Callithrix jacchus: one gene and its partner. The protein of the gene in region 2 purifies or fractionates together with the protein of the main gene of each other region. This does not show direct contact. Links are inferred from orthologs where the notes say so. Each region holds a gene or a part of one and is shown on either strand. Other genes may lie near its edges.

Evidence for each region. The genes of interacting proteins can lie anywhere in the genome.
Region 1: the proteins of WDR24 (region 2) and NPRL3 purify together in Homo sapiens (affinity purification with western blotting; 6 studies listed by BioGRID and IntAct, with this or other methods). This does not show direct contact. The link is inferred for Callithrix jacchus from reciprocal best matches to the Homo sapiens genes WDR24 and NPRL3.

The regions. Positions count from the first base shown.
Region 1 is NC_133513.1:2,370,331-2,374,940, reverse strand, and holds part of NPRL3 (GATOR1 complex protein NPRL3), read left to right. Parts: intron 1-161; coding exon 162-291; intron 292-3,280; coding exon 3,281-3,470; intron 3,471-4,306; coding exon 4,307-4,499; intron 4,500-4,610. UniProt on the Homo sapiens protein: As a component of the GATOR1 complex functions as an inhibitor of the amino acid-sensing branch of the mTORC1 pathway.
Region 2 is NC_133513.1:2,944,407-2,948,367, forward strand, and holds the end of WDR24 (GATOR2 complex protein WDR24), read right to left. Parts: coding exon 3,342-3,961; intron 2,877-3,341; coding exon 2,758-2,876; intron 2,681-2,757; coding exon 2,559-2,680; intron 2,473-2,558; coding exon 2,368-2,472; intron 2,286-2,367; coding exon 1,945-2,285; intron 1,865-1,944; coding exon 1,680-1,864; intron 1,592-1,679; coding exon 1,423-1,591; 3' UTR 1,302-1,422; downstream 1-1,301. Other genes in the region: JMJD8 (jmjC domain-containing protein 8), read right to left, coding at 80-199, 289-538, 620-668, 808-897, 975-1,060. UniProt on the Homo sapiens protein: Catalytic component of the GATOR2 complex, a multiprotein complex that acts as an activator of the amino acid-sensing branch of the mTORC1 signaling pathway. The GATOR2 complex indirectly activates mTORC1 through the inhibition of the GATOR1 subcomplex.

The DNA of each region.
Region 1 (4,610 bases), about 570 kb from region 2:
CTGGCTCTGCTGTGTCAGTCACACCATTCTTCCCTCATTGCACTGTCCTGGCCCACCTGCCATGCTGTGCTTGCCTGCTGCCCACAGAGGCCAGTGTTGAGAACACAGCGGGGTGGGGGGAGGTGTCTGCTGCACTCACTGGCATGCTGTCTTGCCTCCAGGTACTCCCCGCTGGCTGAGCAGTTCTCCCACCAGTTCCCATCTCATGACCTGCCGTCTGTCCTTGCCAAGTTCTCCTTGCCAGTCTCCTTGTCAGAATTTAGGAATCCCCTGGCCCCCGCTGTGCAGGAGGTGAGTCACAGAAGCTCAGTGAGTCCAGAGTGGTAGATGCGTAGTGGATCGGGCACTACCTGCCTGGCTGTTGGTTCTGATCTGAGAGCTCTCAGCACTGGCACTAAGTGCTATGTGCCCAGCATGGCCCAAAAGGCAGCTGCCGGGCCGTCTGCAGACACTTGGCCAGTGACCCAACACGTGGGCGGTCATCCCCTCCCCATAGAGCCCACCCTTGCTGTGGCAGGCAGTTTTTAGGGTTAGAACTGAGTTAAGCTTGGCAGGAGAGTGCTTACCTCTTTGGGCCTACAGACCTGCGTTGTACCCCTTTGGGTCTGGGACTTCCTACAGACAAGGGTGCAAAGGTAGCTGTGTTTTCACTGGGCCAGGGCCTGACCCTCTGAGAGAGTTTAGCTTCTTCCTTCACTTTCGGCCATGGTTCAGGTGGCCACAGGTTCTGTGGGTATGAGTTCTGGGGCCACTAGTCCCCAGAATCTCCTCATCCAAGAGAGCCTAGAGAGGACCCTTGTGGGTCTGGGTCCGGGCAACAGGCAGGCAGGTTGGAAGCTAGGAGTGCAGGGGATAGGAAGCCTCGTGCAGGTCTGTGGGATGAACTGGTGCATCTGCATCTGCATCTGTAGCAGAGTCAGTGGCTTCCCATGTGGGCTGCAGGTGTCACAGCTGAGGTGGCTTTGACAGGAGCCAACGAGGCTCTGCCACCCTTCCCTCCACTGAGTTCTGGGCAGAGACCCAAGGCAGGGCCAGATAGGACAGGTGTCAGAGACAGACGAGCTGGGTGTTCTCAAGTCTTTGTTTTCAACAGCATTCGACTGAATAAGTGCCACATTTATTAGGTGAAACCAGTCTGTAAAGCCAAACCCTTTCTGTTCTCAACCTGTGAATAAGATTCTGGTTTTCCAGCTGCTTTAGACACCAGCCCTAAGAGAGTTCTTGGTGCGGTTTTCGTGGGGCCCTTGGTTTCTGGGAGCTGAGCTAGGTTGTACCTGCTGAATAAAAAGCACTCCCTGCACCCCTCCTCCTGGGGCAGAGCTGAGGGAGGACCTGCTGGTGCACCCATCCCAGAAGCCTCCCTTAGGGTGGCTTTTCCAGGCCATGACTGAGTGGTTGCTCCAGGCCTTGTCAAGGGGCCCAGGTTCTGCCTGGGCTCCAGTGCTGGGAAGCCCCTCTGTTTCATTTTTTAATTTTTATTTATTTATTTAATTTTTTTTTTTTTTGAGATGGAGTTTCATTCATTACCCAGGCTGGAGTGCAATGGCGCAATCTCGGCTCACCACAACCTCCGCCTCCTGGGTTCAAGCAATTCTCCTGCCTCAGCCTCCCGAGTAGCTGGGACTACAGGCGCGCACCACCATGCCCAGCTAATTTTTGTATTTTTAGTAGAGACTAAAAATACACCTTGTTGACCAGGATGGTCTTGATCTCTTGACCTCGTGATCCACCCACCTCGGCCTCCCAAAGTGCTGGGATTATAGGCGTGAGCCACTGTGCCTGGCCCTTCATTTTTAAAAAATGTATTTATTTTTTATTTCATTTTTGATTGCACTCCAGGGTAGAGTGCAATGGCACAATATTTGCTCACTGCAACCTCTGCCTCCCCAGTTCAAGTGATCTCTTGTCTCAGCCTCCCAAGTAGCTGGGATTACAGGTGTCCACCACCACGCCTGGCTAATTTTTTATATAAACGGCGTTTCACTGTGTTGCTGGTCTTGAACTCCTGACCTCAGGTGATCCACCTGCCTCATCCTCTCAAAGTGCTGGGATTACAGGCATGAGCTACTGTGCTCAGCTTTATTATTATTTTGATATAGAAACTTGCTCTCTTCTCTAGGCTGAATTGCAGTGGCATGATCTTGGCTTACTGCAACCTCTGCCTCCCGGGTTCAAATGATTCTCCTGCCTCAGCCTCCTGAGTAGTTGAGATTACAGGCGCCTGCCACCATGCATGGTTAATTTTTGTATTTTTAGTAGAGATGGGACTTCACCATGTTGGCAGGCCTGGTCTCGAACTCCTGACCTTAGATAATCTACCTGCCTCAGCCTCCCAAAGTGCTGGGATTATAGGCATGAGCTGCCGTGCCGGCCCCCTCTTTTATTTATTAAATTCATGTAAAATCTGGGTATCTTGCAGTCCTTTTGACCAGGTCTTCCTAGTTGCCTGGGGTACATCCCCCATTCCCATCCCCAGTTCCCCAGCCCACTCCCAGGAGGTGACTCTGGCCAGCAGCTCCTTGTGGACCCTCCCGGAGATTGGTAGACAGATGTGTATCTGATGACACTGATGCTGTCTCACACTGCTCGCTGCTCAGCATTTGTGTCTGGGCAGTACCCTCTCAAGGGGACTGGACTCGACCCCACACAAGGCTCCTCACTGTCAGCCCTACCTGCTAACGCAGAGACACTGGAGGGCCTGGCCGGGACATGCCTTCTCACGGTGGGGGCAGGGGGGCGGGGGGACTCCACCCCCAAGCACAGAGTCACTGGCCTCAGCTTCTTGTGGCTCCACTTGTGCTCAGGGTGGTCCTATCCAAGGAGAGGACTTTTTGCTCTTAGGCCACCTGCTCACTGCCTCTTTCTAAACAGTGTCTGGGGTTGTCTGGAGGTAGACTGGTTGGCTGGGTCCAACTGCAGGGCCAGTGGGCTGAAGGAGAGAGAAGAAGGCAGAAGGGCAGCTGCAGCAGCAGTGTGGGGGGTTTGCTCAGAGAAGGGGTCACAGGGACCTCCATATCTCAGGTCCCATATCTCGGCCAGACACTGGGCAGCCCAGGTGTGATCCAGATGTTCCCCCAGACCCTCTCCCTTCCTGGGAGGGTGAGCTGGCCTTGCAGAGCTGGCTGGCAGCTGGGGGCTCCCTTTCTGACGAGAGGGCCTTTCTGCCTGGGAGTCAGCACAGGGAGTATGCTGTGGCCATGTCTAGGGCTGTGGCTCTCTGATCCCCCAGGAAGGGGTTGGATTGGGGATGGGGACCAGCCTCACCTGCTGCCACCCACAGACCCAGCTCATACAGATGGTGGTGTGGATGCTGCAGCGCCGGCTCCTCATCCAGCTGCACACCTATGTCTGCTTGATGGCTTCACCCAGCGAGGAGGAGCCCCGCCTGCGAGAAGACGATGTCCCCTTCACTGCCCGGGTTGGCGGTCGAAGCCTCAGCACGCCCAACGCCCTCAGCTTTGGCTCCCCAAGTAAGGGTCCCCAGAGCATCAATCTGGAAGTCAGGGGAGACGCTTGGGAGGGGTGCCCAGGAGGCTCCACATGGGCACTGCTATGGGTGATGAAGGGCCTCCACACGGCAGCACACGCACATGCATGCCCCTCGTGTCCTCTGGGAGACGCCTCTCCTGTCTCCTAGCATCACCATGACTCTGAGGTGGCAGCTCTGCCTCTGGGCTCTTCAGCAGTTTTGCTAGAGTCAGGAGCAGCTCCCAGCCCACCAAATCAATGCTGGAATCTGTGCCCCAGCCAGGGATCCATGCGGGATCCACACCACGACTGGGACAGCTGACACCTTTGGGCCACCAGAAGAGCAGTCATGGCCAGTGTGGCTTGAGAGCAGCAGCCTGTTCGTAGGTCCCAGGTCCTCAGGCTTGGGGAAGGAAGTGGGTGGAAGACTCTGAAAGTCCTCCCCTGGCTGAGGTCTGGCTGTAGGTTTCATGCTTCATGTGAGGACACTGCCTGCCTGGTGTGCTTTGTCCTCCATCCTCGATGAGGGACAAATGGCCAGGCCCACCTCGGGGTATGTGTGAGGTATACATTACACCTCTGTTTTGTTTGCTTGAAGTTGCCCCCAGAGGGGAGACTGCCCATTTCCCAGGTCAGCCATGAGGGGCATGTGTCACACCCAGGAGGTGGGGCAGCAGCATGTGCTTACAGGCAGATGTTGCAGCTGGGGCACCAGGCAGGGGCCTTGTGGGAGTCACGGGTGTCACTGGAGGCTGGCTGCTGGGTCTGCCCTTGCTGTTCCCCTGGTGTCCTGGAATTCCACTTGGTGCTGCTGTCACCTGACCCCTGCCCCCCACAGCCAGCAGCGATGACATGACCCTCACCAGCCCCAGCATGGACAACTCCAGCGCAGAGCTGCTTCCCAGTGGGGACTCGCCACTGAACCAGAGGATGACAGAGAACCTGCTGGCCAGCCTGTCGGAGCATGAGCGTGCAGCCATCCTCAGTGTACCTGCAGCCCAGAACCCTGAGGACCTGCGCATGTTTGCCAGGTAGGTGCAGGTTGACCCGTTGGGACTGGGGCCACTTGGAGGGTCGGGGCAGGAAGTGGATAGGGATGTACCCAACAGGACCACCAAATCCACTGACAACACATGGGGCCC
Region 2 (3,961 bases):
TTACGAGCACCTAGTGACCCACCTGTTTAGTACCCACTCTCAGAAGCCTCACTCCTCCCCAGTCCCAAGGAGCACCCACCTGCGATTCCAAAGCTGTAAGCTGGAGCGGTACCCGGCAGACCAAATGGGGGTGGGGAGTAGTGCCGAAAAAGTGAGGACCATTCAGTGAAGTTGTTGTCCCCGAAAAAGTACAGGGTGTCTGCAACAGAGACGGTGGGGCAGGGATCCCGGCACTGGGAGGCTCCAAGCGTGTCGCCGCCCCAACACCGCCATACATGGCTGACTCACCATTGCCCAGGGAGGTGGGGTCCTGGGGGTGCAGCAGCTGCTCCACATACTCCTGGAAGGGCAAGTCCACTGCAGGGAAGGGACGGGTCAAGACCGGCTGCTGCAGCCGTCGCGGCGTTGGCAAGCAGGCGGGCCCGGGGTGGGGCGGCTCACCCTTCCGGTAGGAGTAGGTGTTGGCGGTGCTCAGCCGAACCACTCTGTCTCCGAACGACGCCAGCAACCTGTCGCGGGAGCACAGGGCCCGGAACCTCTGCGGGGGGGCGGGCGGGGGCGGGGCTTAGAGGCCGGGCCCAGCACGCGCGAGGGTGTCCGGGGACGGGCGCGCGCTCACCGAGTTGTCCGTGAGTCCCTGCAGGATAACGGGCCTGACGAACGCGTACCTGGAAGGAAGGGCAGAGTCGCGCCCAGGCTCGACCGCCACCCTCGCCGCCCCCGCCCCACACTCGCGGGAGCTCGGGGAAGGCGCCTTAGGCGGGCGGGTGACCAGGGCGCGATCTCCGCGGTCAGGGGCGCACGTACTGCTGCACGAACTCGGCGTAGGTAAGGTCGGCGCGGCGCTCCACCGTGCAGCGCTGCTCCTCGGCCGCGGCCCCCGGCCCGCCCCGGCGCCTGCGGGCACAGCCCGGTCAGCCCGCGCCCTACCCGCCGCACGAGACCCCCCGCCCGGCCCCTCCCGGGCCGCTCACCACCCGCCGTCGCCCTCCTCCCCCGAGCTGGGTAGAACCAGAGCCGCCAGCGCCCAGAGCGCGAGCAACCACGACCCCGGCGCCATGAGCCCGCCGCCCTCAGGCAGCCGCGCTGCACGCCGGGAACCTCAGGCCCGTCCGCCAGCCATTGGCCGCAACCTCGTCGTCATGGCAACCGCCGGGTGCCCGGATGGTTCCGGAAGTGATCTCCTTTGCCCCGCCCCGGAAGAGGCCTATTGGCATCGCTGGTTACCATGGCGACAGCCCCGGAGAGAGCCCCCGCCCAGCAGCTGCACGGCGAGCACACTGCAAGCCCCCGCGCGGACAGCGATTCCACTTCCTTTATTGGGGTTTCAAGTTCCAGCCTCTGCCCGTCTGGGGCCCAAGACCAGGCGGGGTTTTGCACGTGGCCGGCCGGGCGGTCAGGTCCCCAGAGCCTAGCAAACGCTCAGGAGTACTCGCAGAGGTGGCCGCAGCCCGCGGGGCAGTGGGAGCTGCCTTCCAGCCACTTCATGATGTGCTGCAGGTGGCCGCCGTGGCTGCAGCCCTGGCACCACACGAACAGGCCCTTGACAACGTGGTGGCAGACGGCGCACATGCTGGCGCAGCGGTGGCACCTGGGGGCGGGCGGGAGGGCGGACGCCTCAGCGGGGGCTCCTGCACTGCCTGCAGGCCCCTTCCCCACCTCCCGACCCCACTGCCCACCTGTCGCAGACCCAGCCCCGGCTGCTCATGGGCCGTTTGCAGTGGCTGCAGTTGACATGCAGGGTGGTGGAGGCCTGGTTGAGGCAGCTGACGGCTCGGCTCGTGCTCAGCTTGACCACCTCGTTGGACACGTTCCACAGGCGGAAGCGCTGCAGCAGGTCGATGTAGGAGGTGTACCAGTGCTCCTGGGAAAGGAGCGCGTGGCGGTCGGAATCGGGGCGCAGGGCAAAGCCTTCGGAGGGAGGAGGCCCCGCCCACCACACACCTGGGTCTGCTCGTCGATGTCCTTGCGCACCCGTTCACCCAGGACGATGAGCACAGACACAGCCATCTGCACGTCGCCCTGCTCAGCATAGAAGTGCAGCATGTCCCGCACCAGCATGCTGAAGAAGTCGGGCGGTAGGCGGCTGTCGTACAGCGCGTGTGAGACAGACAGGAGCGAGAAGGAGGAGTCCACGGGAGCCAGGGAGGCCACATCCGCCTCGCTGCCGCTCACATGCGGGGAGTCGGCCTTGTCCTGCAGGTGCTCGGGCCCGGGAGGTGTGTCCACAATCTCGTGGCGCAGTGGAAAGGCCTCCTGCGGCAGCACGCACTCGGGCTCCTCGGCTGGGAGGCCCAGGTGAGCAAAGGCTCTGAACCTCCGTCCTCCACCTACTTCTCTACCCGACCCCGCCTCGACCCCACTTACGGTGAGTGTGTTCTGGGTCCAGCAGGTACAGCTCGTCATCCTCGCCCTCCACGTCACCCAGGAGGTAGTCAGCAGGTACGTCGCTGCCCTCGGTTTCCTCATTATCTGCCCCAACAGTTGGGCTGGCATTCAGGCTCCTGTGGGATGCCCCCGCCCCACTCCCACCAGCACCCCCACCCACCACAGCCTACCCTCATTGGTGATGAGTGTGGCCGAGGAGTCAAGCAGAACCGTGTCGCTCCGTGCGTCTCCTTTGCTGCGGTCCAGCCGGGTCTCACTGCCCAAACCTGGGGCCATATCTTTCAGGTTGAAACTGAAGGCAGGAAAGGCCCATGGGTAGGTGGGCTTGAGCGGCCCAAGCCCCTGGGGAGAGCTACCCCTGGCATCTACCTGTTCATGAGCTGCAGGCCACAGGAGCCACCCTTGCCCATGCTGTGGCTGAGGTTTGCGGTAGGCAGCAGGCCCGGGCTGCAGTAGATGGTCCGCAGCATGGTCCATGTCTGTGCCACCTGGGGGCAGGCACTGGTCACTTGTGGGGGTCCAGGTCACCCAGCACCCCATGCAGGTCCCCCTCTGCCTGGACAGAATCACAAGCTCTCAGCATTCAGCTGCCCCACAGACCCAATGTCTAGGCCCACCCCGGTAGGGAAGCCGAGGCTCATGGGAAGAGAAAAATCCCAATCTCCATCCTACAGCAGTACAGAGGGAATGGAATTGGGCAGTGGGGAACGGCGGGGCAGCGGCTCACACGTCCACTGCTGCCAGTGCCTGGAGAGCTTAGAAGCAAAGGGGGCGGAACAGAGAGCTTGACCACACGACTCCCAAGACTCCGCCCTGCAGAGAACAGTGCCGGGTCTGGCCACCCTGGAGCCTGACCCTCAGCTACTGGGGCAAGGGCTGTTGGTACGACTGGGCAGAGCCCATCGCGGAGCTTGAAGTCGGGGGCAGGACAGCTGGCAGGGGAACCCCCCTACCTGGTCACGGCCGAGCTCCCGAGCCACCTTTGCGTTGTGGTCACACAGCTCGGCCAGCGGCCGGCCGGCCAGTGCGTAACGCTCAGCTGTGTCCACAAACCAGCGCATGGCGCCACCACCCGGCTCCGTCTCAAAAACGCTGAGGGCACTGGAGGCAAGGCCTGCGAAGGGCTCGGCAGGGTCCAGCTTGCGCTTAAAGAAGATGGGGTGGCGCCGGTCACCAGTGTAGGGCTTGCGCCCCGACTCAGCAGCCACGAGGCTCTCCTTGGCGGCAAAGGCCAGGTCCCCAAAGAGGCCGTAGCAGAGGCCCTCAGGGTTGGCGCGCTCCACGGGCTGGCTGGCGTCACGGAACAGGTGCTGGCACAGTGAGCTGTCCTTGGAGCCGGACAGCAGGAAGGAGGGGTCGTGCGGGTGGCGCCAGGCGATGCCCGTGGTGACGTCTCGGTGCTCCTCAAACATGGCAGCTGGCACGAAGGGCCGGCGCACGTCCCAAACGTAGATGTTGTGGTCGACCATCATGGAGCATGTGGCCAGGTGGTGGCGGCACTCTGGCCGCCACTTAACACGGGCCACTGACGCGATGGTCTGCACACAGTGCATCTCCTTGGCACGGTGCGTGG